Notamacropus eugenii: one gene and its partners. The protein of the gene in region 1 purifies or fractionates together with the protein of each later gene. This does not show direct contact. Links are inferred from orthologs where the notes say so. Each region holds a gene or a part of one and is shown in the gene's direction. Other genes may lie near its edges.

What was found.
Region 2: the proteins of AAR2 (region 1) and C1H9orf78 purify together in Homo sapiens (affinity purification with mass spectrometry; 3 studies listed by BioGRID and IntAct, with this or other methods). This does not show direct contact. The link is inferred for Notamacropus eugenii from reciprocal best matches to the Homo sapiens genes AAR2 and C9orf78.
Region 3: the proteins of AAR2 (region 1) and TSSC4 purify together in Homo sapiens (affinity purification with mass spectrometry; 3 studies listed by BioGRID and IntAct, counting the BioPlex papers as one, with this or other methods). This does not show direct contact. The link is inferred for Notamacropus eugenii from reciprocal best matches to the Homo sapiens genes AAR2 and TSSC4.
Region 4: the proteins of AAR2 (region 1) and EAPP purify together in Homo sapiens (affinity purification with mass spectrometry; 4 studies listed by BioGRID and IntAct, counting the BioPlex papers as one, with this or other methods). This does not show direct contact. The link is inferred for Notamacropus eugenii from reciprocal best matches to the Homo sapiens genes AAR2 and EAPP.

What each region holds. Positions count from the first base shown.
Region 1 is NC_092872.1:420,101,437-420,109,105, forward strand, and holds the start of AAR2 (protein AAR2 homolog), read left to right. Parts: upstream 1-4,241; 5' UTR 4,242-4,395; coding exon 4,396-5,143; intron 5,144-7,669. UniProt on the Homo sapiens protein: Component of the U5 snRNP complex that is required for spliceosome assembly and for pre-mRNA splicing.
Region 2 is NC_092872.1:481,405,602-481,413,747, reverse strand, and holds the start of C1H9orf78 (splicing factor C9orf78 homolog), read left to right. Parts: upstream 1-4,770; 5' UTR 4,771-4,978; coding exon 4,979-5,058; intron 5,059-6,014; coding exon 6,015-6,074; intron 6,075-6,858; coding exon 6,859-6,910; intron 6,911-7,309; coding exon 7,310-7,380; intron 7,381-7,609; coding exon 7,610-7,687; intron 7,688-8,146. UniProt on the Homo sapiens protein: Plays a role in pre-mRNA splicing by promoting usage of the upstream 3'-splice site at alternative NAGNAG splice sites; these are sites featuring alternative acceptor motifs separated by only a few nucleotides. May also modulate exon inclusion events.
Region 3 is NC_092873.1:25,467,651-25,474,625, reverse strand, and holds TSSC4 (U5 small nuclear ribonucleoprotein TSSC4), read left to right. Parts: upstream 1-4,663; 5' UTR 4,664-5,300; coding exon 5,301-6,176; 3' UTR 6,177-6,431; downstream 6,432-6,975. Other genes in the region: CD81 antigen, read left to right, coding at 1-58, 186-287, 647-733, 1,349-1,411. UniProt on the Homo sapiens protein: Protein associated with the U5 snRNP, during its maturation and its post-splicing recycling and which is required for spliceosomal tri-snRNP complex assembly in the nucleus.
Region 4 is NC_092872.1:319,045,077-319,053,066, reverse strand, and holds the start of EAPP (E2F-associated phosphoprotein), read left to right. Parts: upstream 1-4,770; 5' UTR 4,771-4,950; coding exon 4,951-5,024; intron 5,025-7,990. UniProt on the Homo sapiens protein: May play an important role in the fine-tuning of both major E2F1 activities, the regulation of the cell-cycle and the induction of apoptosis. Promotes S-phase entry, and inhibits p14(ARP) expression.

The sequences.
Region 1 (7,669 bases):
CTGTTGAATGGCTAGAGGTTAGAAGTCGGATTACAGAAGGTTTCAAATAGAGTAAGAAGACGGGAGGTGCAGCGTAGGTAGCTTTCTCAAGGAGTTTAATTTGAGATGACAAGATAAAGGACTATCACTAGTGGGGATGGTAGAATAAGGTAAAAGTTTTCAAGGATGGAGACTTGGACATGTTTGTAAGTAGCAGTGAAGGAGCCAATAGATATGGAGAGATTCAGTATAAGGGAAAAAGTAAGGGTAAAAGTAGAAGCAATCTGCTAGAGAAGATGGCAGAAGACAGTATCAAGACTGCATATGGAAGGTTGCCTTTGAAGGAGGGCCACCTCTTTATTGTACACTAGAATGAAGAGATAAGCAGGGAAGATATCTGATTGAAATGAGATGAAGAGGAAGGGAAAAGGGGGAGTGCTGGAGTAGCTTCATTTTACTCAATGAAATATGAAGGGAACTCTTCATCTGAGATAGTGGGGGTTAGGGTGTCATGGGAGACTTAAGGAAAAATGAGAATGTTTGGAATAGCTATTGTGGAGAGTGGGGCAGCAAATCAATTAGGAATAGAATGTCTTGCTGTAGTGAGGGCCCATTTGAGATTATGTAACCTAAATTTGTAGCATAGTTAGCAATTTTGTGATTTCCTCTAGCTCTGTGCAACAGCATGTGGATAGGAGCAAAGGAGGCAGATAGTGGCAGTAGTCCAGGGTTTGGGCTTGGCAAGTCATGATTGTCAGTAGGACAAGGAGTCAAGGGAATTGAGGGTAGAGGACGGTATTGCTGTTCATGTTTTGTTTTCACAGAGGACAAATGACATCATAGTGTGATGTCTTGACTCTTGAATGAACTGGATTTAAGTGAGGAAAAGTTGCACAATTTTGTCAGCTTCACCCTCTCTTCAAGAGTCATCAAAGTCCAGTAGCAGGACAAAAGTCAAGACAGTTGACAATGGCCTGGGATGTAGTGGATGACCTTGGTGTCTTTGATGTCTGACCAAGTTTTAAGGCCCCCACAGCCCCTGTTTTAGTTGCCTTCAAGGTTTTTGTAACAAATTGTTCTCATCTACCCATTCTGCCATGCTTGGTGTAGACACCTCCCCAACTCACCGAGTTACCCTCAACCTGGTTTAGCCTGTCTGCCACACTGGCGTGTGGCCACTATTCATGCTATAGCTTTTTGGAGCCACAGGTGAGAACTGGGTGAAAGGTATGCACCAAAGGTGGATGAGCAGCCCTGAAAAGATCTCAGCAAGTCCTTCCTGATCTTCTTAAAAAGCAAGGTGTAAGTAAAGGAGACTGGAGGATAGTATGGAGTTAAATTGGTTCATTAAGAGTTCAAGATAGGAAAGGGAGAAAAGTATAGCCAGTGTAGGTATGATGACCTGGGAAAGAACTGAGGGATAGAGAGAATGGAGGTCATAATGAAGATGAAGATAAGATTAAGGGTTATAAAAAGTGGGGAAGGTGAAAGGAAAATAGATTGTGAAATAAAGGATTTTCAGAGCTTATGAACATGGAAGTGTTATGGGTAATGGGTTATGGGCAAGGTCAAAGGTGTGACTATCTCTTTGTGTAGTTGAGAAACTAGAAAGCTAGAGTATCTGAGAAGGTATCAACACATATATTGAAGTTCCCTGATATGAGGATAGGAGTTAGGGAAGAGAGAAGGACTTCGAGCCCTGTTTTTGATGTAGATGCTTGTTCCCTAATATAGTGTTCCTGATTCTTTGCTGAGCTGGAATCTTGTCCTGAGATTTGTTTTCTCTGCAATGCTGCTCTCTGCTGGTCTTTAGCTCCTGTACAACTTCTTTCCCAGTGGCAGGGAACCTCTTTTGTGATTTCAGATGCACTTGGGCATTTAAATTGGTCTTTTGAACTTAACTCCACAGCTATACTTCAGACTTTCAGTGTAAATTCTAATTTGTGTTATGATCAGAAAAGTAATTTTCATTCTTATCTTACCCATGAGAGCCTGCAGATCACCCCAGGAGTTCCATTTAGCAAGACTGCAAAGGACTTCAGTGGAGCTATGGTGAGATTACTCTCTGTGGTCCACACAATAATTCAATAGCAAGACTAGAGAAAAGCTGTTGAATGGAGATAGCAACCGTCCCCTCCTTTTGTTGTCCCATTCCCCACTCCCATCTGTTATGGAGGAATAAAGGAACTGAATAATTGCCTCTGGGCAATGATGTATTGGCAATGCATGTGGTTGCAAAACAAACCGGGTCCAAGACTCACGGTAACTAAGAACCCAGAAGCTTTGTTTCTCACAGTTAATATATAATTTAGAAGGAGTAGAAAAAACTGGAAAAACACAGGATTATAGGGATTGAGACATCTGGTTTCTCCTTGGTGGAATTTGGGATGGGGGAGAGGATCGGAAGACACTGAGATGAGAGGAAGAGGGGTATTCTTGTGACATTCTTTAAGTCAGGCGTGAAACCTAAATCAGGTGACTTACGTGGATTTGAAATATTAACTTCATAAAATGGTACATAAAAGCAAAATAGAGTCACTAATACTAATTATCTTAATCATTTGCTGTATTCCTTTTGGGGATTAGAGGACAGGCAGTGGAGAGGCATATGATCAGCATGAGTAAGCTATGACACACTAATAATAATTGTTGACATTTATAGAATGCATGGTGGTTTGCAAAATGTTTTGCGCGCGCACGCGCGTGCGTGCGTGTGTAATTTACAACTAACCAAGCAAGAAAAGCAGAAAAAAAGGATGCCATCAGATATACTGTGGTCTACTGAAAAGGAAGGTGGGCAGGTCATACTGAAAGAGGGAGGCATAACCAATAGATAGTCCTCTTGCTGACATACATGTAAGGTTGAGAGAACTAGAGAAACACCCTTCCCCCACCTACCTCGAAGAGTTGTTGTGAGAATTAAACGAGGTATTTGTAAAATGCTTGCCACCGTGCCTGGCACATAGCAGGTACTTTAGAAATGCTTATTTCATTCCATTCCATTCCATTCCACCATCCGAGTACACTGAATGGTCCAATGGAGATCCTGTAGATGATTTATGGAAGGATGTGGTCAATAATCACAGAGAATGATAGGGTGTTTATGGGTGGTGATTTGTATCCTTGGAAGTTCCTACATGAATGAGATCATCCAAGTGTGGAAGATGGTAGAAATATTCTCTCCATGGGACAGGATGAGTACCAATTAGGTTAAATCAGCCCAAGGTTCCAGTTAAGAGTGTTACAGGGCACCTCTTCCAGATAGGGACTCTCAGGTGGAAGTCCCTCAGGTGTCTGGATTGGGGAAAGAGAAGATCCAGGTCCATGGCAGCAAGGAGGGTTCTCCTGGAAGAGAGACTAACCTTGTTCTTCTTGGCCCTAAAAAAAGCAAAACTAGGAACAGTTGGTGGGAATTAGAAAGGTAGATTGTAGATCCACCTCAAGAAAAATCTTCTTAAAAATCTAAATTTTCTAAAAGTGGATTGAGATGCCTTGTGAGGGAGTGGATTCCCTGTCACTAAGGTCTTCGAGTGAAAGAAAGAGGGCCACCGATGGTCGACCCTGTAGAAGGGATGGCTGCGCAGATCCTGGTGGCAGGTGATGCCTTCCAGCTGTGAACATCTGTGAGTGTGAGGCTTGGTGACTGGCTGCCTGGGTGGGGCAGGACCTGGAGCAAACCCATAGATAGACAGACAGACAGACAGACAGACAGACAGACAGACAGATAGATAGATAGATAGATAGATATGTAATTTACGTAAAAAATTGAGTTTTGAATTCTCTCAGTCTTCAGCCTCCCCATGAGAAGACAAGAAATGTGATGAACCAATTAAACATGTGAGGTCAGGCAAAACATTTCCGTATTAGCCATATCGCGAAGAAAACGAGAGAAAAAGGCAAGAAAGATGACGAAAGGGAAAACATTATGTTTCAGGCTGCACTCGGACACCATCCGTTCCTTCCCTCTGGAGGTGGGCAGCATTTTTCATCTAAGTCCTTCGGAATTGTTTCGGATCCTTGTATTGATCAGAAGAGTTGTCGGTCGATAAACACGTAGTAAGCGCTTACTACGTTCCAGGCACTGTGCTAGGTGCTCCTCTAGGACTCCGAGGTCTAGAGCGTCAGGCACTCTATGGGGACACCAGGGGTGGCAGGCGGAACCCAAGGATGTAGGAACCCCTCTCTCACCGCCCCCGGGTGGGAAGGGAGCATTTTCCCCTTGCACCCGCGTCCCCATCCCGGGAGGAAGCGGCCGCACTTCCGGCGCACGGCGGGAGCGGCCGCTAAGGGGAAGCTGTCAGCCGGGCCTGGGAAACGATCCCTCGGGGCGCCTCGGCCGCCGGCCCTCAGTCCTCCGGGGCCCCAGCGTCCCGAGCTCGGGTCAGGAGGGCCTCGAAGGGCGGCTGGGCGTCCCCGATGGATCCGGAGCTGGCCCGGAGCCTCTTCTTCGAGGGCGCCACGGTGGTGGCCCTGGGCGTGCCCGAGGGCACCGAGTTCGGCATCGACTGCAGCTCGTGGCAGGTGGGCCCGCGCTTCCGCGGCGTCAAGATGATCCCCCCGGGCGTCCACCTGGTGCACTACAGCGCGGCGGGCCGCAGCCCCTCGGGGACCCGCGAGACAGGCCCGCGCACGGGCTTCTTCGTGAGCCTGCGGCCGCGGGCGCTGCGCCTGCTCCGCTGGGACGCGGCCCGCGAGGAGCTGGACCTGAGCCCGGCGCCCGAGGCTCAGCTGGAGGCCGTGCGGGCCAGCCTGCAGGAGCTGGATCGCTTCCTGGGGCCCTACCCGCACGACCTGCTGAGGAAGTGGGTGTCCCTGAGCAGCTGCCTGAGCGAGGAGGCTGTGCGGCGGCTGCAGCCCGAGAGCGGGCAGATCTGCGCCTTCTCCGAGGTGCTGCCCGTGCAGCCCCTGACCTACACCAAGGACCGCGCCGAGCGCGGCCCGCCGGCCTGCGGCGCCGAGTGCCGGAGCTACCGCGAGGGCCTGGCCCGCCTGCCGCAGATGAAGCAGAGGGCCGGCACCGAGATCCGCTTCACCCCGCTGCCCAAGCAGACCTACCCCGACGGCGCCAGCCCGGCCGAGATCACCAAGCACAGCATGGACCTGAGCTACGCCCTCGAGACTGTGATCAGCAGGCAGTACTCCGCCAACCCCCAGGATGTCCTGGGTAGGTATGACTGCTTCCCTTTTGTCCCGAAGGTAAGAGAGGTGGCCGAAAGTCCAGGCGGGGTCGTGAGAAAAGCTCGAAATTTGGAGTCACTGGACTCAAGAGCCCAGGCTTTAGCACTCACTGGTCTTGGACCAGTCTTCACCATCCTGCCGTTTTAGTCAAATGAAGCCTAAGTTTTATGAGTTTTATGTATTATGAGTATTATAAGTTTTATTAGAGCTCCTGGAGCTCTAATAAAACTTATACGAAGTGGCCTTGATAGATCCTAACACTTTGGTAGCTCCTCTTAAGGAATTGTAGATTGTCGGATCTAGCACAGAGTCCAACTTCTCCTTTATGTTGCACATGACTTGATGCCCAGGGAGAAGAAAGTACTTGCCTAAGACAGTCTCCTGTCTCCTACTGTAGAGCATATCCAGCAATTCTATTCAGCTTTCCTCTTCAACATTTAACAAATTGTTAAGTATATGTACAGAACACAGTAGGAAATAAAAAGATAAGTAAGACCCAACCTCATCTCTCAAGGAGCTCAATACAATACTACAGTTAAGAGTATACAGATAAATATAATACAAATGGAATACGGAGTACAAAGAACTATGAGATCAAGTTTCTAAGTGAAACAGTTGTAATATGTGACCTATAAGGTCCCTTAGAACTCTACATGCCATGCCACTAGCCAAAGAACTTAGATAAAGGTTCCCAGAGGAACTAGAATTTGAGCTGGACCTAGAATGACCATAGGATGTCCAGAGGTGGAGATGAAATGAGGGACATTCCTCTTGAACTATTGAATCCTTTTACAATTTTATTCCCTTAATTTACTTTAGAGTCCTGTCACAGGATGTGCAGAGCTCTCTTGGGTGCTAGTCTGGTTGCATAGTCAGTGAACCAAGAATTAGTTCTCTGAGGTTTATAGAATTTATTCATGTGGAATGTTGCACTTGTAAAGTTGATTAGTGTACAGCAGGATTTTTTGGCTACACAAAGCCTTACAAAGCACTTTTCAAGGTGTAATAAATTTTTACAGTCCTCCTGTGAAGCTGAGATAGCACTGCCAGTCACCCACAGAACACTCAAGTTTAGTTGCTAAGCATTACGATTTAACAGTGTTTGTTTATTACAAAGGTAGCTGGTGGAGTTGCAGCATTTAACACATCTGCTCACCCTGATGGCTCATCGTCATTTCCCCCATTGGCCTCCTGTTGCTCTCTTTGAGGAATAGTTTATTCCATTGCTCTATATCCCCTAGCACATCCTGTAGTTCTCATTCCCCTGTGATTTTTCCTGCAGTTCCTGAAATGCTTCCCCATGTCTCCAACATCTGTCCAGTCCCTGGGTAATTACAGCGTATAAAGCACTGGATTATGGGTCAGGATGCTTGAGCACTGGGGTTAGTTCTGCCACCTGCTCACTATGTGATCTCAAGCAAGTCTACTCTGAGCATTGGTGTCCCCATCTGTGAATAAGGGTGTAAAATTAGTTATTTCTAATATACCATTTGACTCAAAAAATTCTGAGTCCTGTGAGTCATAAATCAGATACATGCATTGCCCCTAAGAATTGTGAGAACTTAGAAATTAAGTTAAGATAATTTCCCTTTAGAGCCCTGCACTTCAGGCTCCATTTCTCAGAACTGTTAAGTTGGCATTGAAGTTGCTCTTGTTTCATTCCCCTCCCTTACCCCACAACTCTACAGTATTTTTTTCTCCCCCAGTTGCTTCTTTTGAAGAAAGAGAATTTATGAAGGTCCTTCCAAATCTATAGCAAGGATGAGTGGGAATTAAAAGGTATAATATCCCTAGGCACATGCAAACAGACTAGCAGGTCTGGGAGATATAAGAAGGAACTGGAAATAGTCAAATCAGGGTTTTTTTAATGGGGTACCAGGACAAACTTGCTCAGTTACTGCACACAGGTAATAAGCATTTGTTAAGGGCTAATATAGGGTGTCAGACACTGTGCTATGAGCTGGGATACAAATTCAAACACCTGCCTTCAAGGAGCTTACATTCTATGGGGGGAAGATAGCACATAAAAAGAGATGTGAAAATGGAGTGGAGGGACATGAGGGATGGTGGCAGTCCAGAGAGTCTGAAGCACAGTTTGATCAGCCTGGACCCTTCCCCAAAATGGAGACCCTGGAAGGAGCTCAGCAGTGGGAGAAGGGGGTGAGCATGAGAAAAGGGATGTTGCTTCTGGAAGGTTTCCTGCCCCTTATTGGGAGAGAAACATGGTTAGTAGCTGTTTGAAGCATTTTGTGTAGAGACCAATACTGTTGCTATGGGTATACTTAAAATACTTAAATAAATAAAAATACGTGTATAAATTTTTCTTTTGGAGTCAGAGCTGAAACTAGGAAGTAAGTAAGTAAACATGCAAGGTAGACAGATGCTGAGGTTACAGCAAGGGACAACTTTTCATAAATGCAGAGTTAAAATATATATTGATATCATTTGTTTTTACATCACCTTCATTTCCAAATATATACCTCCTTCCTTTCCTTCTTGGTGAGCCACTCCT
Region 2 (8,146 bases), about 61 Mb from region 1:
CCTAGTCTCACTCCCGGACCTCTCTAAGCTGGCCTCACCTTCGCCACCCTCCCCCGTTCTCCCTTTTCTCTCTTAGCCCTGTCCCATCCCCCTTTAACTCTCCCCGAGTCCTCCCACTTTCCCTCTCTTAACCTTCGCCCTCTACCCAACTCTCCCCTCTTAGTTGGTGGGTCTGGTTCTCCCTCCCCCATCCTTTCATTCCCCCTCTCCCTCGAACCTTCCCCCGCCCATCTCCAGTCAATTCCTTAAGCTCGGGTGGGCTAAACTCCGGGGCCAGGCCCCCAGGCTCCCCAACGGCAGAACCGGGCCCCTGACCGCTCACCGGCCCCCTCCTCGGGTCCTCGCCCTCCTCGGTCTCCGCCTCTCCTCTCTCGGGCTCGGGCTGCGGCTTCGGCACCCCAGGGCCTGGGGTCTCCTCCCGCCTTCCTGCCGAGGCCGGGGGTCCGGGACTACGCCCGGGGTGGGGGAGCGGACTCGCGGGCAGAGAGGGAGGGAAGGGGGCGGGGGGACAGGTAGAGAGGAGGGCTGGGGCAGGAGGGGGCCGCGCCGGGCTGGTCCGCGCACCGAGCAGGGGCAGGGGGCGCCGGGGAAGGGCCTCCCACCCGGAGAGAGAGGCCACGAGCGAACGAGCCCGGGGCGTGGGCTGGGGAAGCCAAGCCGCTCCTAGGCCCAGGTGGAGGCGGGGCCCGCAGGCGTCCCAGCTCGGAGCCCAGGAGGCGGGGTCTCCTGGGGCTCACTGGGGAGGCCCTCTCCCCCAGTGCCCCGGTTATAGCCTCCTGGGAAGGGGACCGTGCTCAGCCTGCCTGCGGAGATGGGGGCCTACAGGAGCCGTACCAAGAATTCTTTAGACCCGGCCAACGTGGGGGGAGCGGGGTGGGGGGTGGGGGGCGGAAAGATGTGTTTTGCACGCAGGTTTTACTTGTTAGAGAAGACTGTGCGGTGGGTGGGTGGGATCACTGTAAAGTGACAGTGACTTTTGTTTTTTGAAAGAGAATCAGTAAAACCTTTTTTTAAAAAAGAAAAAGCACCATCGCCTTTATCACCAAACATCTGTCCTGTCCTTTCTCCTATGGACTGCCATCTCCTTGAGAGCAAACCAGTGTCAGCTGTCAATAACTCAGTGTTCTGTAGGAGGAAACTTGCACCCATTACCTCCGAGTCGTGTGGGAGACAAAGACTGCCCCTCTACCCCAAAAGACACAGTCTGTGTCCTTAAGGAACTTGCATTCTATTAGGCGGTATATATAGCCTTTTTTGCGGGGAGAGGGTGGAGGTGTTGACGGGGCACATAAGCCTTAGAAATCCAGGGGGAGCTGGGGTAGTCGCACAGGACCACAAGAGAAAAAGCAAGCAAGACTCCTTTCTTGCCTAAGCTTCCAGACCTGGCTCTAGCCCCATCTCCTCCAAGCCTCCTTCAAGGACAGCCCAGCCCAGTTCTCAGTGATGGCTGGCTCCCAGTGGCATTTATTGGCTATATAATTGGCTGCACAATCAGTTACGACCTTATGGCATCCTGTGTTGTTTTGAACTAGTATTTAAATATTTTTACTGTTACACTCAACATGAATATTTATATTTTTACACACCATTCAGCAAACACTTATCAAATATCTATTGCTTCAAGGCACTGTCAAAGATGCCTGGAACAAAAAGAGACAAACAACAATCTAAGAAAGGCAGGGGATGTTTTAATTTGCATTAGTTATGAGTTATTGTAATGAAAGTGCTTCGTAAAGCAGTATAATAAACAAACGTCTGTTAATATTGTAGCTGTTATTTCTACCCCTTAGATCCCTAACATGTAAGGTCATTGGAGGTACAGATCAGTCCTTGTTCCATCTTCAGTGATTATGATTAGCACACAGTTGGCACTCAATAAATACTAGTTAATTGAATGATTTCACTTGTAATGATCTAGACTCCTCAACTAAATGTAAGCTTCTTGAGAGTAGGGACCATAACTAGTACTTATAAAACCTTATAGCACCTGACATTACTGTCCTGCACAAGAAACAGTGATTTGATAAGACAGGGTTTTCATACATTGTGGAGGACTGGATAGGGGTAGGAGAAATCAACAAGGCCTGGTTAAAAAACAACACACACAGGAGGCATTCCTAGACAACTAAGTGGTGCAGGGGATAAAGCTCTAGACTGAAATCAGGAGGACTGGAGTTCTATTTTGGCCATTTTCTGGCTGTTTGACCCAGGGCAAGTCACTTAACCTATCTGCCTCAAGTTTCCTCATTTATAAAATGGGGATAATAATGGCAGCTACTTCCCAAGGCTGTTGTGAGGATAAAGTAAAATATATGTAAAGTACTTTGCAAACTTTAAAGAGCTATATCAATGCTAGCTTAATTATCATACATATACTAGAGCAGTGGTGTCAAACTCAAACAGAAACCAGATCATTAAACCAAATATCAGGATCGTTGGAGGCCATATACTGACTTAGGAAACCACATCTCATTGTCTTATTAAATATTTTCCAATTACATTTTCATCTTGTTCCAATGTTTTGGGGAATGTTGGGGGCTGCACACATGCTGCCTGTGTGTGGTGTCAGATACCTCTTCTATAGAGAAGTGTGAATTAAGTGACTTTTAAACGGGGACTTAGATGTGTGGTTTTTTAGAGCTGGAAAGCTGATGATGATACATAATCTAGTCTAACCTGTTCATCTTGGGAAAACTGAGGGCTAGAGTAGGACAGTGGCATGCCCACAGTCACACTGAAAGTTAGTGGCAGAACCCAGATCTGGTGATCTTTCCACTGCACCACCAATCAAACTAGGAATTAGAACAAATGGTACCAATTTGCTGAACCACAAATACTAATTGCCTAACACAAATATTAATTTTACTGATCTCAAACCTAAACTAAAGGTTTTTTTTTAAGCAAATAGCTAGCAAACCAGTTCAAACCAGAACTAAACATTCCTCCTAAAACAAAACAAAAAGATCAAAATATTCTCACCACTCAATCTAAAAAACATTTATTAAATCTAAATTCATAGTAACAAAAGTTGAAATTAAAGTAACACTTGGTGGTTTATAAAATGCTTTTATATCCATTGTCTACAGCCATGGCCTTATTCAATTCTCACAAAATCCCTGTGAGGTAGGTAATAAATACAGTTATCAGTCCCATTTTACAGATGAGGAAACAGAAACATCAGCTTTAAGTGATTTAAGATCACAAAGCAAAAAAGTGGCAGTCAGAATTCAAACCCAGGTCTTCTAATTTGTGCTAACTAAACCAAAGGTGCCAATCTTTCATTCAGTCATAGCTTATGATGCAGGTTATCCACTCAATTCTTCCTAGAAGGGTATAGTTAGTGCACAGGGGCCTAGGTCACAGCCAGAGTATAAGTTCAGAATCTTTGGAGGGGTACTTAGCTAAGCAATGACCAAAACAATGGTTGTGAGACAAGATTTCCAGTCCTTGATGCCTACAAATACAGTTGTATTTAAAGACACCTACGTGGAACTACCTGGTGCCATCTACCTTTCAGGCTTGGTATGATATACTGTAATACGCCCAGGGCAGGTCAAGCTTTACCCTTCCAAAGGAAAAAACCAATCCATTTCCCAGACACCAGCCAACACTGGCAGTTCAAAGGTATGACAAAAAACCAATCAGCATTGGTGTATACATTATAAGCAACTGAAAAGCATATCTAGGGAGGGTAAATGAGGACTGTGACTCCATTAAAATTGGGATAACTTGCTAGTGGAAGATCTGAACTACTAAAAGAAATGACCTCTCCTATGGTTAAAAAAAAGGAAACAATTACTATATACTAACATAAAGCCTTAGACTTCTGGAAACACATTTTTAAAAGGTGAACTTAATCGTCACAGAACCTGTGTAAGAGAGGAAGTTTTATTCTCTTTCATTTACCTACAACAAAGCAAATTATAGAATCAATAAGGAACTTAGCTAATGTCACTTGCAAGTAAATATTAAAATCAAGTACAGAATCTTCTCCCTCCAGAATCCAGTGATCATTAGGCTACCACAGTAATGTCAACTAAAAATATAGGAGGCTCCCTTCTGGACTGGCTAGGGATGACAGAGGCCTGGGGCCTGATGCGGCCGTTAGTGGTGTTTAGTTTTCAAAAAATAACAAGAGGAGGGAAAGTTGTAAACGTTTTCCTTTAAAAAATTCACCTTAGGGCTGTGACAATGTTTCTTAAGTCCCCAAATACAATCTACTTTTAAAAGTATTATTTTAGGCTAACTCATTCATTTTTTAAAAGGCCAACTTTCTACAGTCTGAATTAGATAATTAGTGAAATTCAGAAGAGACACTGGTACACCTGGTGTACCTGCCGAACTCCTGTCTCGCTGGAAGGCACCTTCGAGGGGCTGAGCTGGAATGCTGGCACAACTTCGACCACCGCTCAAGCTTTGGGCTTTGGGAGGGGAGAGGAGAGGAGGATGAAAGGGGAAGGGAGGAAAAAGAAAGCGGGGGAGGGGGAAGAGAGGAGAGTGCAATGAGAGAGGAGGAAAGGGGAGTGCCATGAGAGGGGAGAGGAATTAAGGGGAGGGAGGCGGGGGGAGCGTCCCCCGCAGAAGATCGCCGCCTCCCTCCCCGCCCCCGCGGCTCGGAAGGATAACGGCCGGCCCTCGCCCCGCGCGCCCACACTCACCTCGGCGGGCTGGGCTCCCGAGTGGCCGCCGGCACGGCTGCCCGCTCCCCATCCCCGCGGCTCGGGCGGCGGCGGCGGCACGGGGGAGGGGCGGGGCCGGCCGGGGCGGGGCGGGCTCCGAGCACGCGGCCCTATGGGCAGCGCCCCGCGCGGGCCCTTGGAGCCGGAGGCGGGCCCGCCGCCGCCGCGGCCGCACGCAGCGCTGACCGCACTGGCCTGCGCCGGAAGCAGCCCTGAGCAGCTGCGCAGCTCCGGGGCCAAGGCGCCCCATCGGGGGCACCCCGCGGCAGTCCCTGGTGGAAACCCGGGCTCGGGGCACCATGCGGGCCGGCAAGGCCTTCCGCAAGCGCCGCGTCGACTCGGAGTCGGAGTCAGACGAGCAAGACAGTGAGGAGGTCCGGTGAGTGGGGAGCGGGGCAGGGGGCGGCTGGACTGCTGTGCGGAGAAGCCCCGACCCAATGACATCCCTCCGGGATCGGCCGAGCCCCTGGTGTGGGAGGACGAGGTCCGAACGGGAGGGCAGCCGGCCTTGACCCTAACCCCGAGCCTGCGGGATTGATCTCGTACTGCCCGGCTTTTATCTTCTCCGCCCCCCGGGGGGAGCGAGCACCCCCAAAACGATGCGAGAGCTGCGGGGGTTCCCCGCGACCAAGATGCTGCCCTCCTGCCCCCGTAGCAGAATGGGAGCTCTCGGAGGACAGGCACTGGTTTTGCCTTTGTTGGAATGCTGTTGTCTTAACTGGCAACTGTTGAATGTATATTTCGTGTGTTCTCTTCCAATGACAATTCATTCGTTCCTTCAGAGTGTTACTTGTGTCACATCTGACGTTTATGTAACACATAATGTCTTGTGATTCCCGTAACTACCCTGTGAGCTGGGCAGTAGAAACCTTCTTCTTCTTACCTGCGTTGACTTATATGTGTGTTATGCTCTGCCTCATACTAGACAGAAGATTTACAAAACTTCTCTCTTCCGAGAGAAAACAGGACTGTATTAAATCTAGGAAAGAAGGGAGGGGAATGGGGAGAATGAAAGAGAATAGGTAGGAGATATGCTGAAACCTAATTTGTCACTCTAAAAAAAAAATTAATTCTTGACCTTTTTTAAACTCCCCCAATCCTCTCCTATGAACACATGTACACGCATTGGATGGTCAAAAACTGCTACACTCAGGGACTGTTGTCCCCCAGCAGATGAGGAAATCTGTCAGACTTTCTGAACCTGTCCAGTAGTTGGAAATACAGTGTCCCTTTTGGGGACAGAGCCTCAGCGCCAGTGGATGGAACTCTCAATAACCAGACCCCGTTTTATTTTGATGTTTGGACTGCTTAATTATTTCTCTGTGTTATATTCAGGTTGAAGCTTGAGGAAACCAAAGAAGTTCAGAGCTTGAGGAGACGGCCTAATGGGGTGAGGTAGGTTTAGCCACCTTGGATTGGGGACCACAGTCAGAAGAGAAGAAAAAAGTATGTCCTGGATCCCCTTTGTGTAATACTGTGACAAATGCATAACTACTTGAAATAGCCCATATTCTATGTTAAACTGTATACCAGGGCATTCCATCGCCTACCTGACTTCCCTTGCTTTTTCCAGATGCTTGTCAATAGTTCAAAATGAGGAGTATGCAGAGTAAAAAATAGAGATGTTTAGTGTTTATTTTGCTTCATTTTTCTCTGCTAAGGAGAATGACCTTTGCACTTAAAATAACAGGATAGAAAAAATTTAAAGAGTTACCTTTGATGAATTCAAGTCACCATGACCGCATAGTTTATATCCTTGGGAACTGAAGGAACTGGCAGAAGTCTTGAGGCACTGTCAGTGATATTTGGAAAGATCATGCAGAATGGAAGCAGTACACAGAGGACTGGATTTGGAATCACAAGACCTGGGTTCAAGTGCTGGCTCTCCCTACATTTTTGACCTGAGGTGGGGGGAGGTGGAGAGAGAGATAGAGTTCTGGACTAAATCTAGTTCTAAATCTAGCTAGCTCTAAGAACGAAGAACATATCTGTAAAGTTGAGAGTTGGCATCCGTTTTAGTCTGGTTGGGTTTTTTTTAAAGATGTGATCTTTCATGACATGCCTTTTTGGCCCCCATTATTCATATGAGTTTTACTTGTCAGCCTGAATAATGAATTTCTGAACTGATTGCTTTACCTTTTCCTATCTTTGAGTTGTACCCACCATTTTTTCTATTCAGTGCCGTAGCCCTCCTGGTTGGAGAGAAAGTACAAGAAGAGACAACTCTAGTGGTGAGTTTTGTGGACATCTCTGGTGAATGCTGTAATATTTGGCTAGGAAGGATGACCCTGAAAGGTTACCAAGTTAAAAGTGATTTAGTTCAGTAAAATAGTGTGATATAGTTCAGTAAAGCACAGTTGTATGATGAGCAGAACTGAAATAGGTTGTCCTTCAGAAAGGTTATCTATCCTACATCAGCCAGCATTTATTGATACCTCACCTATTCAGGATCCTGAGTGTTAGGGTCTAGCACCCAATACTGTTCCTAATACATAGTAAGTGCTTAATAACTGTTTGATAATTGAACTCTGGGTGATAAAAACATGAATGACAAATTATCTTTTTCCCCCACCTAATTTATAAACCATATTTGCTTTTTCATTATCATCATTATCTTTCTTATTTGGTAGGATGATCCATTTAAGATCAAGACTGGTGGAATGGTGGACATGAAGAAACTTAAGGAGAGAAACAAGGACAGGTTGGTAGAAAACATTTTTAGAAACCATTGAGAACATTTTCTCTCCCTGTTACTACACTCAATTTTGATTGTCCACAGTAGTAGGAAAACTCACTTGCATCCTCAGAGAGACTGGGGAAAACAGAAGCTGTGAAAGAATAACTATTTTATGTGTTGTTTTTTTTTAATGAATTTAGTACATTGTTTTCCAAGGAAATATTAAAGATACCATAACTCTGTCTCCATTTAGGATTAATGAAGAGGAGGACCTCAACTTAGGAACATCATTTTCAGCAGAAACCAACCGAAGGGATGAAGATGCTGACATGTAAGTTTTTATTTTTTTTACAGTATGAGCAGATAAGGTTTTTATTGTGGGTTCTAAATCCTCTTTCCTAGCTGAACCAAGAGAAATGTTTGCAGCTTCTAGAAGGCTTCAGAATTATTTTCCTTTCTCTGTCTCCTACCCTTTCTTGCTCAAAGACCAAATCTTAAACCTAATTCATTAACTCATAGATTGGACAACAGGTCCCCGCCCACCTGGCACAGAGGGAATGTAAATACTAAATAGTAACTGTTTCTCTTTTCCCCAGGAACCTTGAAAGTCTTCTCCCAGATTGGTTTTTTTTTAAATTTTTATTAAAATGGGCCACCCTTGAGTAACTACTTAGAGAGGTCTATTCGTTGAATGGGTGTATCTCACTCAAAGTGAGAATCTGATAAGACCTTAGCCTGAAATGTCCAGGGTCCCACATTGCATCCTGGATCATCTCCACTCATCCTGATG
Region 3 (6,975 bases), on another chromosome or scaffold:
TGTGCTGGAGGACAACGCCAGTAATGCCAAGACTGTGGTGAAATCCTTCCACGAGACGGTGAGAGCTAGGAATGGGACAGGGCAGCAGGCTCTGCTTCCCCATGTGGATGGTGTGGGAGCGGTTGCCATGCTCCCTCTGAGGCCCCAGGCCTCGTGTCTGAATTCACTTCTGTCTTCTCTTACAGCTGGGCTGCTGCGGCTCTGATACGCTAACCTCCTTAATCACGGCTGCCGCCAGAAGCGAGCTGTGCCCTAGTGGAAGCAACGTTCTCACCATGCCCTTTAAGGTAAGGCCAGGCCGAGGGCAGATGGAGATGCTGGCTGCCTGTGTAGGGAGCCAGGTATGAGCCGGCCTGGTTGGGCCAGTGCTGGCCAAGGTCTGTGCTTGGGGATCTCAGGGTGGGCTGTGTGGAGCATTGACCATGCCTCCTCTCTGTCCTGCCTGTGGGTGTGGGGGTCTCCCCACAGCGCTGTCTCTAAATCTGACTTTCCCTCGTGTCCGTGCTTTCTGTCTGCCATGTGCTTGGCCCGATTCTCTTGGCCCACCTCTGAAGGATGAGCAGATGGTGGGCAGTGCCTGGAACTCTGGGAGGGGTGGGGATGGGCAGGTGATGTTCATGCTGGTCACGGGGGCTCTTCTCTGCAGGCAAACTGTCACCAGAAGATAGATGAGCTCTTCTCAGGAAAGCTGTATCTGATTGGCATCGCTGCCATCGTGGTAGCAGTCATCATGGTGAGCGGGAAGGGAGCCCAAAGGGTGGCTCACCCTGAGGCCCTGCTCCATGGGCAGGCCCTGCTCCAGAGGCTGGCAGGGCAGCACTTGTAGATAAGCTGGATGATTGTTCATTGATGGTGGAATCCCAAGTCGATGGCAGTCCCCAAGGGCCTTTGCTTTCTCTAATTGAATCCATGACATGGACAGGAACAGATGACACCAATCTGGGGGTGGGGGAGAGGAGAAGTGCTAGCAATGAGCTGGGCAGCCTAGGATGGATACAAAGTCTGGCATTAAGGACCAAAAAGCTATGGGGCAGTTAGGCAGCTGTTGTCCAGAAAGAGATCTGGGGGGTCTGAATGGGCCACAAGCTCCACAAACGCTAATTTGATCTGGGGCTGCCTTGAGAGCAGGACGAGGGAGGGAGGTGATTGTTCCCCTATGCTTGGCCCCAGTCAGATCTCACCCAGAGGACAGTGATCATTTCTGGGGGCCGCATTTGCTAAGCTGTAGGGAGTCTGGAGGAGGGGTGACCAGGGTAGGCCCTGTGTCGCATGAGGAGCAGTTAGCCTGGATAAGGAGAGATGGGGAGGACGTAGCCCCATCTTTAACGCGCTCCCCCTTTCCCTGCAGATTTTTGAGATGATTCTCAGCATGGTCCTGTGTTGCGGTATTCGGAATAGCTCCGTGTACTGAGGACCGCCCCTGGGGCTGTTCTGAGGTGTGGGCAGGCAGGAGAGGAGCCCCGCAACTGTCGTCGAGTGACCAGGAGACGTCTGAGAGAAATCCAGAGAATTATGTATAGAAATGTCTCAGATATTACCGTGCAGTACTTATTAGCATTTTTACTTTGGAGGGTTGGGGCATGGGGGTGGGGGAGGGGATGTTTTTATTTTTGAAATAAAGTTACCAGACTCATTTCTGTGCCTCTGGCTACACCTAGGTCTTGTGTAGCCAGGGCCTTGGAGGGGGTCTCCTGGGCTGAGGCCACGGCTCAGTGGGGCCCTCCCGGGCATGGAGGTAGGGCAGGGGAGGAGGCCCTGCTGGTCCTGCCTTCTGAGTGGGGAAGGAGAGAGCCTTGGGAGGCACCCTCCCTCCTGCAGCTGCAGCCTTTTTTTTTTTTTTAACCAATCTGCATTCTTTTCTCCTGCATCTACTTTTCTCGAGCATTTCTGACGTTCTCACACTTTCTGGCCTTGTATGTCTGACTTTGGCCCCTTAGACCATAACTTGGCTGTCCAAGACAGGCCCAAACCAGCTCACTTCAATAAAAAGGAAAGAACATCCAGACTGGTGTGGACCCTTCCCTGTGAGCCCTGCTTGGCAGGAGACCCCCTGGGGCTGGGCAGGGGGTTCCGGAGGGGGCCTTCAGTTCTGAGGAAAATTGACCTGTCCTGTGGAGGCTGAGAGAGGCCTGGGCCAGCTGGCTCTCCTGCCCTCCCCAGAGTGGCCTGGGCTGAGGGGAGCTGTCTCTCACCCTCCTGGCAGTCAACACTGCCAATGGCCACCTTGGCCTGTGGACATAGAAGACCATCTTTGGCCACAAGGCTCGGTCCACTTCACCAGCACCCGGCTCTCCTGCCTGGGACTTCCCCCATGGTCCTGGGCTGTTCAGAGGGGAGGCCCCCCCAGAGTGGGCAATGGGAAGTGGGTGATTGAACCTTAGAAAGCCTTAAAGGAACACTACCCAGAATGCCCTATGTTGGGGGGAGGGGGCAGAGCTCCTGGGGCCTGTCTCTTCCATAGTGCACTGGCCATGCACGTATGTGTGCTTACATAGATGTTGCATGTACTCGAGTATGTTCTGGGCCCAGGCTTCATGTCTTTCCAGGACTTGTTATTTGGCCTAGAGGCAGCAGTCAGGCCTTGGAGTTCCGTGTTTATGTTCTGTGGGCAGCTGGGCATCCTGTGGGGCATTCCCATAGAAGGGAGCCTGGCTGGGCCAGGAGGTGTCTCATGTGACGTGTGGAAGGAGAGGCCTTTGACACCTGGGTTTAACCACCATCTCCCTGTCTCCTGGGCATCTGCCCAGGTCTGGAGCCCAGGCTCTAGGATGGACCGCCGGCCTGCACAGAGCAGCATGGCAGGAGGTGGGCACCATCCCAACTGCCGTGAGGCTGGGGGGTGTCCTGGGCTACCTGCACGAAGAGGGAGATAAATCCCTCCAGCCTCCTGCCCCCAGGAGGAAGTGCCCCCCGGTTAGTTCAGTGCTGGCCCTGTACCCCAACCCTGGCCCCCAGAACCCTCCCCTGCCATCCCCAGGTGGCCCCAAAGACGGGGCTGGGAGGGCACTGACCGACAGAACCGCATGCCTCTCGTTGGCAGGAAGGAGCGCCTCTCACACCTCTCAGGCAGTCTCTGCTGCCTCTGCCCCAGCCTGGGAGCCCCACCCCCTCCCTGCTTCGCTCAGGGCCTCGGGGGGACAGCATGGCCTGAGGGTCCCCCCTTGTCCGTTTGCCTGTCTGCCCCACGCGGCCCCTTTTCAATCCATGTATCCAATAAAGCAAGTGCTCTGATCCGTGAATCTGCGGCTCTTTTTTGGGGGGCTCGGCCCGGCCGGCCTTCCTCTGACCGGCCCTGCGGCCACCTCCCACAGGACGCAGTGACCGCGGAGGGCTGAAGCCCCTTCCTGGGCTCCTGGAGTCCGGCCTCCCCGGGCAGCTCGGGGCGCCAGCGTCAGGAGGGCCGTCAAAGCTGACCCCAGACCTGTCCTAGCCGGGTGACCCTCCCGGCCTATGGCGAACCCCTCCAGCGTCTCTGCCAAGACAACCCCAGGCTCGGCCAGAAAGGGCCTTGGGGTCCAGGACCCCCATCTTACAGAGGTGGAAGCCGAGGCACGGAGGGCAGCTTTGCCAGCGGGGGCCACCCACGTACCCCTAAACACGAGCGCCCGGGGGCAAACTCCTCCAGACAGGGCCCCCAGAGGCGGGAGGGGGCCCTCGGGCACTAGAGCGAGGCCCGAAAGGGGTTGGGAAGGCTTTGAATGCCAGGGCCAGCTTGGGCAGGGAGCCCCAGGCCGGGCCGCCTGGAGCTGGAGAGGGGGCCCAGGATGGGAGCCAGGGTGGTCTGTGGGCCGCTCCCGGGGTCTAGGGCTGGCACGCAGTAGGTACTGGACGATGGAAGTACTAGAGCGGAAACCGGTCCCGGGGCCCCTCTTTCAGCACCCCGGGAAAGGACGCCTCTTCCCGCCCATCCCCCCAGGCTCCTCCAGGCTACGCAGGCCCCCACCCGGCGGCGGCGTCTGGGCAGGAAAGACGAGGCAACAATGTAGCGAGGAGCGGCCCTCCAGCCAATGGGGAGAGGGGAGCCTCGGCAAGTCCCGCCTCCTCCCCCCGCTCTCCCAGCCCCGCCCGGCCAGACAGGGGAGGGGGAGGGGGCCGAGCTGCGCGCGTTCCCGAGATGCCTACTGTGTGACGGGGTTGGCACGAAAGGCAGCAAATTGAATAAACAAGGACTCAGCCACCGGGGGCAAGGGCTCCTGTAGGGGGATGGGGCCTCGAATGCCCCATGAGCAAGGCGGGACATGGGTCCCCACCCTTCCTCGCTCCTCCGCGCAGCCCTGGGGCGGGGGTGGGGGCTGCCCCCTCCCAAGCCTGGCTGCGTCGCAGGGTGTGTGCTCTCGCCGGCTCCCCTCCCGACGCTCAGACGACGGGTGACGTCACTCGCAAAGGCGAAACATCCGGGTGGGCTCCCAGACTCCCCCCAGTCCCCACCCTCCCCCCAGACCTCAGTTTCCTCATTTGAAAACAAGAGCATCAGGAGTCACTCAGCCCCGCACTAGGTGGGGTGGCTTCTCCAGGGAGGAGGGAGGAAGGGAAGTGGGGAGGGCGGAACCTCCCTCCCCCCCGCCATATATATGCCTTCCGGGGCCCCGCACCACTAGGGCGTGCGGCGCTGGGAGGCTCCGGCAGGCGACGCTGTTACACGCCTCCACCCAGGCAGCGTCGCCACGCCCCTCACCGCCCTGCCCCGCGAGGCATTGTGAGCGTCCTCCGCTCATCCCACCCCCTCCCCCTTCAACCCACGCCGAAAAGCAGTTATCCGAAAAACCGCGCGAGGACAGGCCTTCCGGGAGGCCACGGCGCAGGCGCGAGATCCCGGCCTCATTCTCAGAAGGTCACGTGCAGAGGTTTTCTTCGGCGCGCTCGGTCCCCTGACTGTGACGTCATCGCGTTGCATTGTGGGGGTTGTCGTTTTCTTTTGGCCTAGCCTCCTGCCACGATGGAGTGCGGGGACTCGGCTTCCCAGAAAGCCGTGCGGGCGGGAGGCGGGGCCGTCTCATCTTCGAGGCCCAAGATGGTGACTACCGTTCCGGGGAGCTTCGCTCTACCCGAGGCAGGTCTCGGGGTTTGGGCCCAGGTCGGCGCAGCCCCGCCTCGGCGTCCCCCTCTGTGAGAGGTGGGGCTGGGAGCAGTGACCCCGAGTCCCAGTTTCTGCCCCTCCCCCATGACTGACCCTGCTTGGGGCTTCCGTTCCCAGCCTCAGTTTCCCCGTCTGCGCAGACTCTGACCCCCCGGCCTCCCCGGCCCCCGCACTACGGCCTGGGGACATTGAGGCCAGGCGCCAGCCCCCGTGGAGCCGGGCCATGGCGGACAGAGGCGGGGGCGATGCCTGGCCAGGGCCACCCGACTGCGAAGTCACCTCGGACACGGGCTCGCTCAGCGACTCGGACTCGGACTGGGACGGGCAGGAGGCCGGGCTGTCCCCGGGGGAGCCGCCGTGCCTGGAGGAGGCAGCGGCCTCGGAGGACGACGAGCCCCCCGCCGAGCCCCCGCAGGCCCCCGAGGGCCCCGTGCGCCCCTTCCACCTGCGGGGCATGAGCCCCACCTTCTCGCTGCGCAGCCGCAGCATATTTGAGGGCCTGGAGGGGGCGGCTCGGGCCCCCGCCCCCGGGACCCCCGCGGAGGCCGACCCCGACCCTTTCAAGCGGCCCCTGCCCCGCCCCGGGCCTGCCAGGCCCGGCCCCAGCCCGGTCCCCGACTACGTGACCCATCCTGAGCGCTGGACCAAGTACAGCCTGGAGGACGTCCCCGAGGGCAGCGACCGCAGCAACCGCGCCGTGGCCCTCGAGCTCCTGGGGGACCTGAAGAGGAGGGCAGGCGGCCAGAGCTCCGCGCCCCCAGAAAGCTGCGCCCCCTCCTTCAACCAGGACCCCTCGAGCCGCGGGGCCGGCAGGATCGTGTTCACCAAGCCGGCCAAGGCCGGCGAGCGCAAGCGGCCGCAGTGGAGGGAGCCCGGGGAGGAGCTGGTGGCGCTGGGCCACCTGGGCTCGGGCGGGGGCCCCGACGGCGAGGGCGACGGCGAGGAGCCCCCGAGGACGCCGGCGGAGCCCCAGGAGGCCGACATGCGGGAGGACGGGGCGGGCCCCGCCGGGGCCGTGGGCTTCCACGGCAGCAAGAAGAGGAGCAGGGAGCACCTGCGGCTGAAGGGGCCGGCGGAGGAGGAGAGCGAGGAGCCCTGAGCGCGGCCCTGCAGCCTACCCAGCGCCCTTGGTGCCCCGGAGCTCGCCACCCCGCATGGAAGACCTGCCCGGGGCAGCTTGGCCGGCCGCCCCATCCCCCCACGCCCTCCGGTGTGGTTGGGGAAGGCGTCATGGGGTGGTAACCAGCGGAAGGGAGCGTGCCCTCCTGCTGGCACTGGTGGCCCTGACCACACCAGGCGCCCAACCCCGCTGACTTGGTTTGACCTTGTGAAGACAATAAAGGGTTTCCCTGAAGTCTGAGCCTCCCGGGTGTCTCCCTGCCTGCCCACCTGGCCGCTGGGCCCACCCACTTTACCCTGAGGTACAGACCTCTGCCACTTTCCTTACGTCTGGGCTCCCTAGTTTGTCCTGGGTTGATGGCACAGGGATAGAAGGTACCCTTAGCACTGGCATTGGGGTTCACCCAGGACTCGGAGCATCCCTCTCTATTCCCAAAATAAGGAGATCCCTGCCCTCCACGAGTGTGGCCCCAGGCAGGTGTTTCCCCGAAGGGGACTTTGGGCCTGTCTTGGACCCAGATGCTGGGCAGCTACCTGCGATGGAGCGAAAGAGGGACTGGTTGTGGGATAGGCCATGGTGCTTTTGATTGGCCACCCGCCACCCTCCACCCTCCTGTCTCTCCCCCAACACACACTTTGCACTTTCAGGGTCCTTGAAACCCAGAGAGAAGGTCTGCTCTCTGAGTAAATCCCTGACTCATGGGGCCAGGGTTTCCTGCCACTTGGTCAGTGAATATTAGCCCATCCCTGTTGTGCTCCCAGCTCCAGGCAGTCAGTGC
Region 4 (7,990 bases), about 100 Mb from region 1:
AAGAAAACCCCAAATGGGGTCATGGAGAGTCAGACATGACTGAACAAAACAGGCTCATTTTCTTCTGGTTTCTCCCTTTTCTGTAATCCTAGATAATGATAGCAACAAGAAAAAATACATCAAGAAAAGGGGAAGATGCAAACAGGAAACAAGACACACCAGTCCAGGAAAGATGGCTGGCAGCATCTGTGCAGATCCCACAGTGACGCTCATCAGAGTTATCTCATTACTGAGATTAGAAAATAACTTTTCACCACTTTTGCAAGAACCTTAAAATCAGGGATGTGCCTCCGAACAGAAATAGAGAATTATTTTAAGTGCAGTTCTTTTTCAAGTACATTTTCAAATTTTTAAAGTTATACAGGCTACTAAAAATGCTAATGTGGTCATAACTGGGGCTATCACTACCCCCTCTTTCAAAAAAAGAAGAAGCATGCTAAAAGCGGATACAAGTAAAATCCATATTGACATAAAAGATTTAGAATTAAGCAAACTCATAATGAGACCAAAAGAATGAATTTTTCCTGTACTTGGAAAGAGAATAAGAAAAAATGACAATGCACAGCTAACAAAGTATATTCAAAGCTTCTGAGACTTGGCTGAAGGGTTAATTTTATACAGGCAGGAAGAAGGCTCATGAATGTAAAAGCAAAGCTGACCATCAACAGGGTGCAAGGTGAGAGCAGATCTTTTACCTTCAGAAGAACATTGAAACCACACCAAATATTGGCAATGTTATCCTCAAAGAATACACAAACTTGCAGTTTCTTCCACTTCTGTAAAGTACTGTAACCACCAAAGAGCAAAGGAAATAACCACTGTAAAAATCAGTTTAATGAGCAGTAACAACCCCTTTCCTTTCAAATCTTTCTTCAAGCATTTGTCTAGCAAAAGAATGGCAAAGAATGGTAAAGTTCCATCTGCTTATGATTTATGGCTAAACAAAATGCCAATGATCCTAGGATGTCTTAGTCACAAGACAGACCAAGAACACAGTGCAAAGTTGAGATTCACAGAATCATACTGAAAATATCCATACTCAATCAGAAGAAGGCCTGGAAGTGCTCTTGAAAGAAATAGAAGGCCTGGAAAAGCTCTCACAAGTTTGGTTGAAGGTTGTTTTTTTTTTAATGAAAACAGTATAGTACAACTGAAGGTAAGTAAATCATTAAAATGACAATAAAAACTGTTGTACACATGTAATTAACTTCTGTTGATAACTCTCATAGCCCTATGATGTGTGTAGTGAGGAAAATTAATTTTAATTCTGTCATTTGATTATTAATATAAATTTGTAATAACGTCTCTTCTGTCAAAAGGCCATCTCTTCTACTAGTTTAAAGAGAAGCCCCTGAACAATTCTAGCTAAGGAAATGTATTAAGTGTTTTCTCAAGGTATCTGCTCATTAACTAGGTAGTTCTGGCCCCAGCCCAACTGGGACTCTAAGTTCTGTTTAGTAGAGGGGTCTCAAAACTCATGACCTAGTCTCATTCCTCAGCTGACCTCCCCCCTTGACCATGAAGCTCTTAGTCCATTTCCTCATCAAATGTCTACCAATCAGGGGTTTCTTTTCTCTAGGCAAGGGAGTTTCCAGTAATTTGCTCTCAGGAAGACAGACTGATGTGGTACTGTCCCTTGGCATCTTTGGTTACCTAACAGAAACCACTGACCATCAATTTATTGATTATTGACTAGCCTAGTTAATAAATTTATTGTTAATACTCATTTTACTTGCCACATTCTGCAAAATAGGCACATAAAAGACTGAATAAAAGATTCATAATGAAAAATGCTATCTACATCCAGAGAAAGAATTGTGGAATTTGAAAGCAGATCCAAGCATACTACTGTCTGACTTTTTTTTCTTTCTTGTGGTTTTTCCCTTTTGTAATGATTCTTCTTTCACAACATGACTAATGTGGAAATATGTTTACTACGAAAAAAAAAAGACTGTGGTAACCTGTAAGAGGTGGATAATATAGTCCCCAGTACTGTAATTTTTATCAGTCCTATTGAAGTACCATTGCTTGACTGGTAAATTAATTTTTTAAAAAAGTAATTTAAAGTAATTTCTCATCAGTGCCTTTGCTCTTTATAAATTCTAAACATAGGAAGTTTTCCAGACCTTGAGTAAGAATTCAGAGACTAGCCACCAGACATCTCATCCATTGAGGACCACAATGGTTATTAAGTGCCATTCTTCCATAATTTCTCTTTCCTCAGGCTACATACACAAAAAAAAGAATTTTTAGATCTTCTAAGATGTCTGCTTTCAAAGAGGCATACTTTATTCCCCTCAAAACTCTTCTTGATCACATAAAAATATCAATATTCAAGGTGTTATCAGTTCTCTGCAGTTGAGAATTTCAGCCAACTTCAAGGGATGCCAGGCTTCTAAGTATGAAATTAAAAAGTGGTTATCTGTTATATCAGTGCAAGAAGGATCCCATGGTGCTCAGTGTCCCTAGTGGTCATAGGCTTCCTGCCTAATGCCCAGAAAAATCATGTTAGTGACTGAATTCAAGATATACTGGAGTCAGGTACACTCATTAGAAGGTTATTGCAATACTCTAGGCATGAGGTAATGAGGGTCTGCAGTAGAATGGTGGCTGTATCAGAGGAGAGAATAGGGTATATTTGAAAGATATGGCAAAGGTGAAACCAATAGACCTTGGCAATCGATTGACTTTGGGGAATGGGAAATAGTGAGGAGTCCAAGATAATTCCCAGGTTGTGAGCCTGAGGGACTGGGAGGATAGTGTTGTACTCTTCAGTAATAGGAAAGGTAAATAGGAAAGAAGATTTAAGGGGAAAGATAATGAATTTGACTTGAGTTTAAAATGTCTCCACCAACGTTGGGGCATCAACTATTGTTAATCCTCCTCTCCATCCTCCCCCCTCCTCCCTTCTCCCGCCCTCTACCCCGGAAAAGCCCTTGCAACAATCATAGTCAGGAAAAATGAATTCACTGAGTAATGCATCCAAAAGTATATGTTTCTGCATTGTGTCCATTGATTTCTCTGTCAAGAAATGGGTAGGTCCTCTGGAGACATGATTGCTCATTGCTTGATCAGAGTTCTAAGTTGATTTTTTTTAAAAATGTTATTCTTGTATTAATTGTTCTCCTGGTTCTGCTCATATCACCCCATGTTATTTCATAGTATTCCAAATTCTCTGAAATCTTCCCTTTCTGGTATTACCCACAACAATATAATAAAATTAAATTCAAAATAGGAGCTTTGAAAAAATATTTTAAAATTAATTGGAAACTAAATCATGCAATCCTAAAGAATTGAGAGGTTAAAGAACAAATCATGGAGATAGAAAATTTCTTCAAAGAAAAAAAAACAACCCAACATATTAAAACTTGTGGGATTCAGATAAGACAACCCTTAGGGGAAAGGCTGTGTCACACAAAACAGTAAATTGGGAACACAACTAAAGAACAAACAAACAACTACAAAGGCAACATATCAGAACCTCTCAATTCCACATAAAAATAGAAATTCTTGAAATTAAAGATGATATTAATAAATAAAAAACAAAAAACAAGTATTGAACTCATTGAATTAATACATTTTGAAAAACCTAGACACTAGTCTGATTTTTTTAGAGTGGAAAACAAGATCATTTATATCAAAAATGAAAAAAGAAGAATTTATAACAAATGAAAAGGAAATAAAGGAAATGACCAGAAGTTATTTTGCCCAACTCCATTCCAACAAGACTGATAGTGTAAAAGGAATAGATGAATACTTACATTTTTATTAGTATTTATGTGGTTTTTGTAGAATTAGAGTATCTTTCTAGAGCTAAGAGAATATGTGCATGTATGTGTGTATATATACATATGCGTGTGTATACATAATACACACGCATATGTTTATATTAAAGTTTGGAAGTCTTCATATTCCATCAGAGAGGATCTTTACTATCATCCACTACTATTAAGCACAGTACTAGAAATGTTTGTATAATAATAAAATAAGAAGAAAGAAATTGAGGGACTAGATGAATAGAAATAAAAAATTAACCTAGCAATTTAAAATTAGATTAGAAGAGAAAATGGTAAATCTTACTGAAGAAAAAACATATTTCTGAAACTGAAACAGACCAAACAGAAATCAGTGGTTCCATGGGACACTAAGAAATATAAGAACAAAATTAAAAGATTGTAAAAAGAAGAAGAAGAAGAAGAAGAAGAAGAAGAAGAAGAAGAAGAAGAAGAAGAAGAAGAAGAAGAAGAAGAAGAAGAAGAAGAAGAGAATATAAGCTATCTTATAAAGCGGCAGGGATCAAAAACACTTAATATTGGTTAAAAACAGATTAGTTGATTAGACAAGGAAGAATCAGAAACAGTAGCACTCACTGATGTTTAACAAATCCAAAAAAATAAATTCTGTAGGAAAGAAGTCTCTATTTTATAAGACCTGCTGGGAAAACCAGAACTCAATCTGGTGGAAAGAAAGTAGGCTAAGAGCAACACCTTAGACCATCTTGCACAACAAATTCAAAATTGATACCCGAACTGAATATTAAAGGATATACAAAATTTTTTTGCTTTCTCAAAGAAGGTGGGAGAGAAGGAGGGAAAGAATCTGGAATTAAAAAACCGAATGTTAAAAATCGTTTTTACACATAATGGAAAAATATGAAATATTAAAGAAAATAAAAACAGCCCTCTTCAAGGGCTGCAGCTGTAACTCTGCAGCTACTGTAGCAAGACCCTGACGCTCCACTATTTGCCACCTCCCCTCCCCGCCCTGCCTAGCCAAGCCCCGCCTCTCCCTCCCTGTTCCTGGCGTTCCTTCCAGGGACCTATCAGCGCAGGCGCAGTAGCAAGGAAGCGGAAGTGCATCTCGCTGCTTCCCTTTGAAAGTACCACTCCAATCTGGTGACTCCGTGGATTCGTTCAGAAGGGCTGTGCTGGGCCGTGGGTCCCGCTCATCATGAGCTGGCTTTCTGAAAATGATGACCCGTATGTAGTTGAAGAGCCCAGTGACGAGGAACCAGCTTTGAGCAGGTAGGCCAGGCGCGGGGCCCGCTCTGGGTGGACAAGACGTCCCCGACTTCTTCAGTCGTCGGAGCTGGGCTTTCCAGCGTCTGTCTCTGTTCGCAGAGTGGCCCCGGGACAAAGCACAAAGGCAGATGCAGGCTTGATGTCAGGAAACTATGACGGTTCCAGCCGTTCAAGAAAGAAATGGGGCCTCGGGAGGGAGAGTGAGCTCCGTTGTTCTGGAAGTGTTCAGGCAGAGGCCAGGAGTATGCCGAGCCCATGGGATCTTGGGGGTGCTTCCTGAGGAACAGCCTTTGAAACCATCCACACAAGTGGGAGGGGCCTCCTGGGCTCAGAATTTAAGAAAAAGCCGGGGGATAGTTGGGAGCCAAGCTTGCTGCTCATGGTCTAATAAGAATGCAACAACGTTGTACAAACAAGCTATATGCAGCATAAATTGATGATAATCTTAGAAGGAAGGCTCTATTGTGAAGAAGGATTAGAAAAGTCTTATTTTTATGTTTTAATGTAAATAGCATTTTATTTTGTCCAATTTCCAATAGTTTTAAACATTCATTTTTAATGGGATTTTGAGTTCCAGTTTTTCCTCCTTCTTCTCCCCCCACCGCAAGATGACAAGCTATCCGATATAAATTATGCATTTTAAACGTATTCAATATGTCACGTTATGAAAGAAGAAACAGAGCAAAAGGAAAACACACACACACACACACACACACACACAAGTGAAAATAGTGTGCTTCAGTCTACATTCAGATTCCATCACTTCTTTCTCTGAATGTGGATAGCATTTTCCATCTTGAGTCTTTTGGAATTCTCTTGGATCACTGAATTGCTAAGAAGAGCCAAGTTTAACATAGTTTATGAGCACACAGTATTGCTGCTACTGTTCACAATGTTGTCCAAGTTCAGCTCATTTCACTTAGAATCAGTTCATGCTAAGGCTTTCCAGGTTTTATAAAAGTCTTCTTGCACAGGGTAGGATTTTAGCTGGGACTTGAAGAAAGCCAGGAGGCAGAGATGAAGAAAGAGAATACCGGCATAGGGGATAGCCAATGAAAATGCACAGAATTGGGAAATGGAGTACCTTGTGAGTGGAACATCAAGGAGGCTGGTGTTATTGAATAGTGAAATATGTGGTGGGGACTGGAAAGGTAAAAGGGGCCAGGTTATAAAGGACTTTGAGTGCTAAACAGAGGATTTTATATTTAAAGGTGATTGGGGTCCATTGGAGTTGATTGAAAGTGGGATGGGGGTGGGAGAAGGGATAGGGAATGGGTAGCATGGTAACATGGACAGGTTTGTGTTTTAGAAAAATATGTTTGTCAGCTGAGTCGAGGATGGAGTGTAGTGGGGAGAGACTTGTGACTTTTGCTCAGACATGACATGATTGGGGGGAATGAGTATTTATATAGCTTCTACTATGTGCCAGGCACTTTGGTAAGCACCTCACAAATATTGTCTCATTTGATCCCCACCAAAACCCTACAAGGTATGTGCTGTTGTTATCCTCGTTTTGCAGTTGAGAAAACTGAAGCAAACAGGTTAACTCACTTGCCCAGGCTCACACGCCTTAGTAAGTGTCTGAGTCTAGATTTGAAGTAAACTTACTGACTCCAGGCCAAGGGCCCTATCTGTTGTGCTACCTTGCACCCTCATGTGGCCTTTGATTACCAGGGTAACGGCGGTGTCAGTAAGCTGAGATGAAGGAAACTAGTTGACCCTAGTTGAATGAAACTTATAAATAACCTTTCAAGTCTCATAGCATCCAAAAATTCAATCAGACTTTTATGTAAGGGCAATATGGTTAAAAGATGGGAGACCGTAGATGAGAGAACGTGGAATGTTACACATTTTTCAGAACCAATGGATACAACTATTTTGATGAGCTACTTTCCCCATTTCTTTTAACAACTTTGTAAGACTAAAAGAACATTATATGTTTGTATGTGTATGGGTGTATAAACTAGCATTTATTTAGTGCTTTAAGGTTTGCAAAACATTTTTACATATTTTGTCTTGCTCAATCCTCACAACAGTCGTGGGGTATAGGTGCTATTATTATCCCTGTTTTACAGATGAGGAAACTGAGGCTGAGAGAAGTTAAGTGACTTATCCAGTATCACATAGCTAATTAAATGTATGAGGCAGAATTTGATCTCAGATCTTCCTGACTTTAAGTCCAGTACTCTTATCACTGTGCCATTTGGCTGGTATAAATATAAAAGATATTAAAAACAAGATATTTTTTTTTAAGAGACAGATTTGTAGAATAGAAATTATACCAGACTTAGAACCAGATGATCTGGGTTTAAAGGTACCAATTACATTACTAACATACACATTGTGTTCACCCTCACTTGTCCTTACCCCCATCTGGATCTAACGCACTACTCTGTAAAAGAGAGATGATGTTGGCTGTACTTTCTACCTTACTGGGTCCTTATGAGACTCAATTAACAAGCAATTAAGTGTTTACCATGTATGTTATGTTGGGTATTTGGTATACAAAGACAAAAATGAAACAGTCCCAGCCCCTCAAGGAGCTTTCATTGAGTAGCTTACATTGATAAAATTAAATATGTTCGTAGAAGTAACTTTGAAAACTGAATCCCTATATAAATAAATGTAAAAGAGAAATAAAAATAAACGTATCAGAAATTTCAAGTTTCACTTCTGTTGTCCCAGCACTCCCCACCAAAATTTAGAGACTCAAGATTCTATACTCTAGGAGACAGAAGCAAAGAACCTGGATAATCCATATACTGATTAAATATCCCCTAATAATTGATTTAATTATGGACAAAATTTTGTAGAAGAGAATTTTGACATTTAATTTCTTATAAGAAAATTCATCTCATTTGCCTTAACATCTCTTTTCAGTTTTACGGGGCTGCTTGGGGAAACCTCAACAAAGAGAACGAAGAGAAAAATAACTTGATTGAAAGTGCTAATCAAGATTGTACACAGAA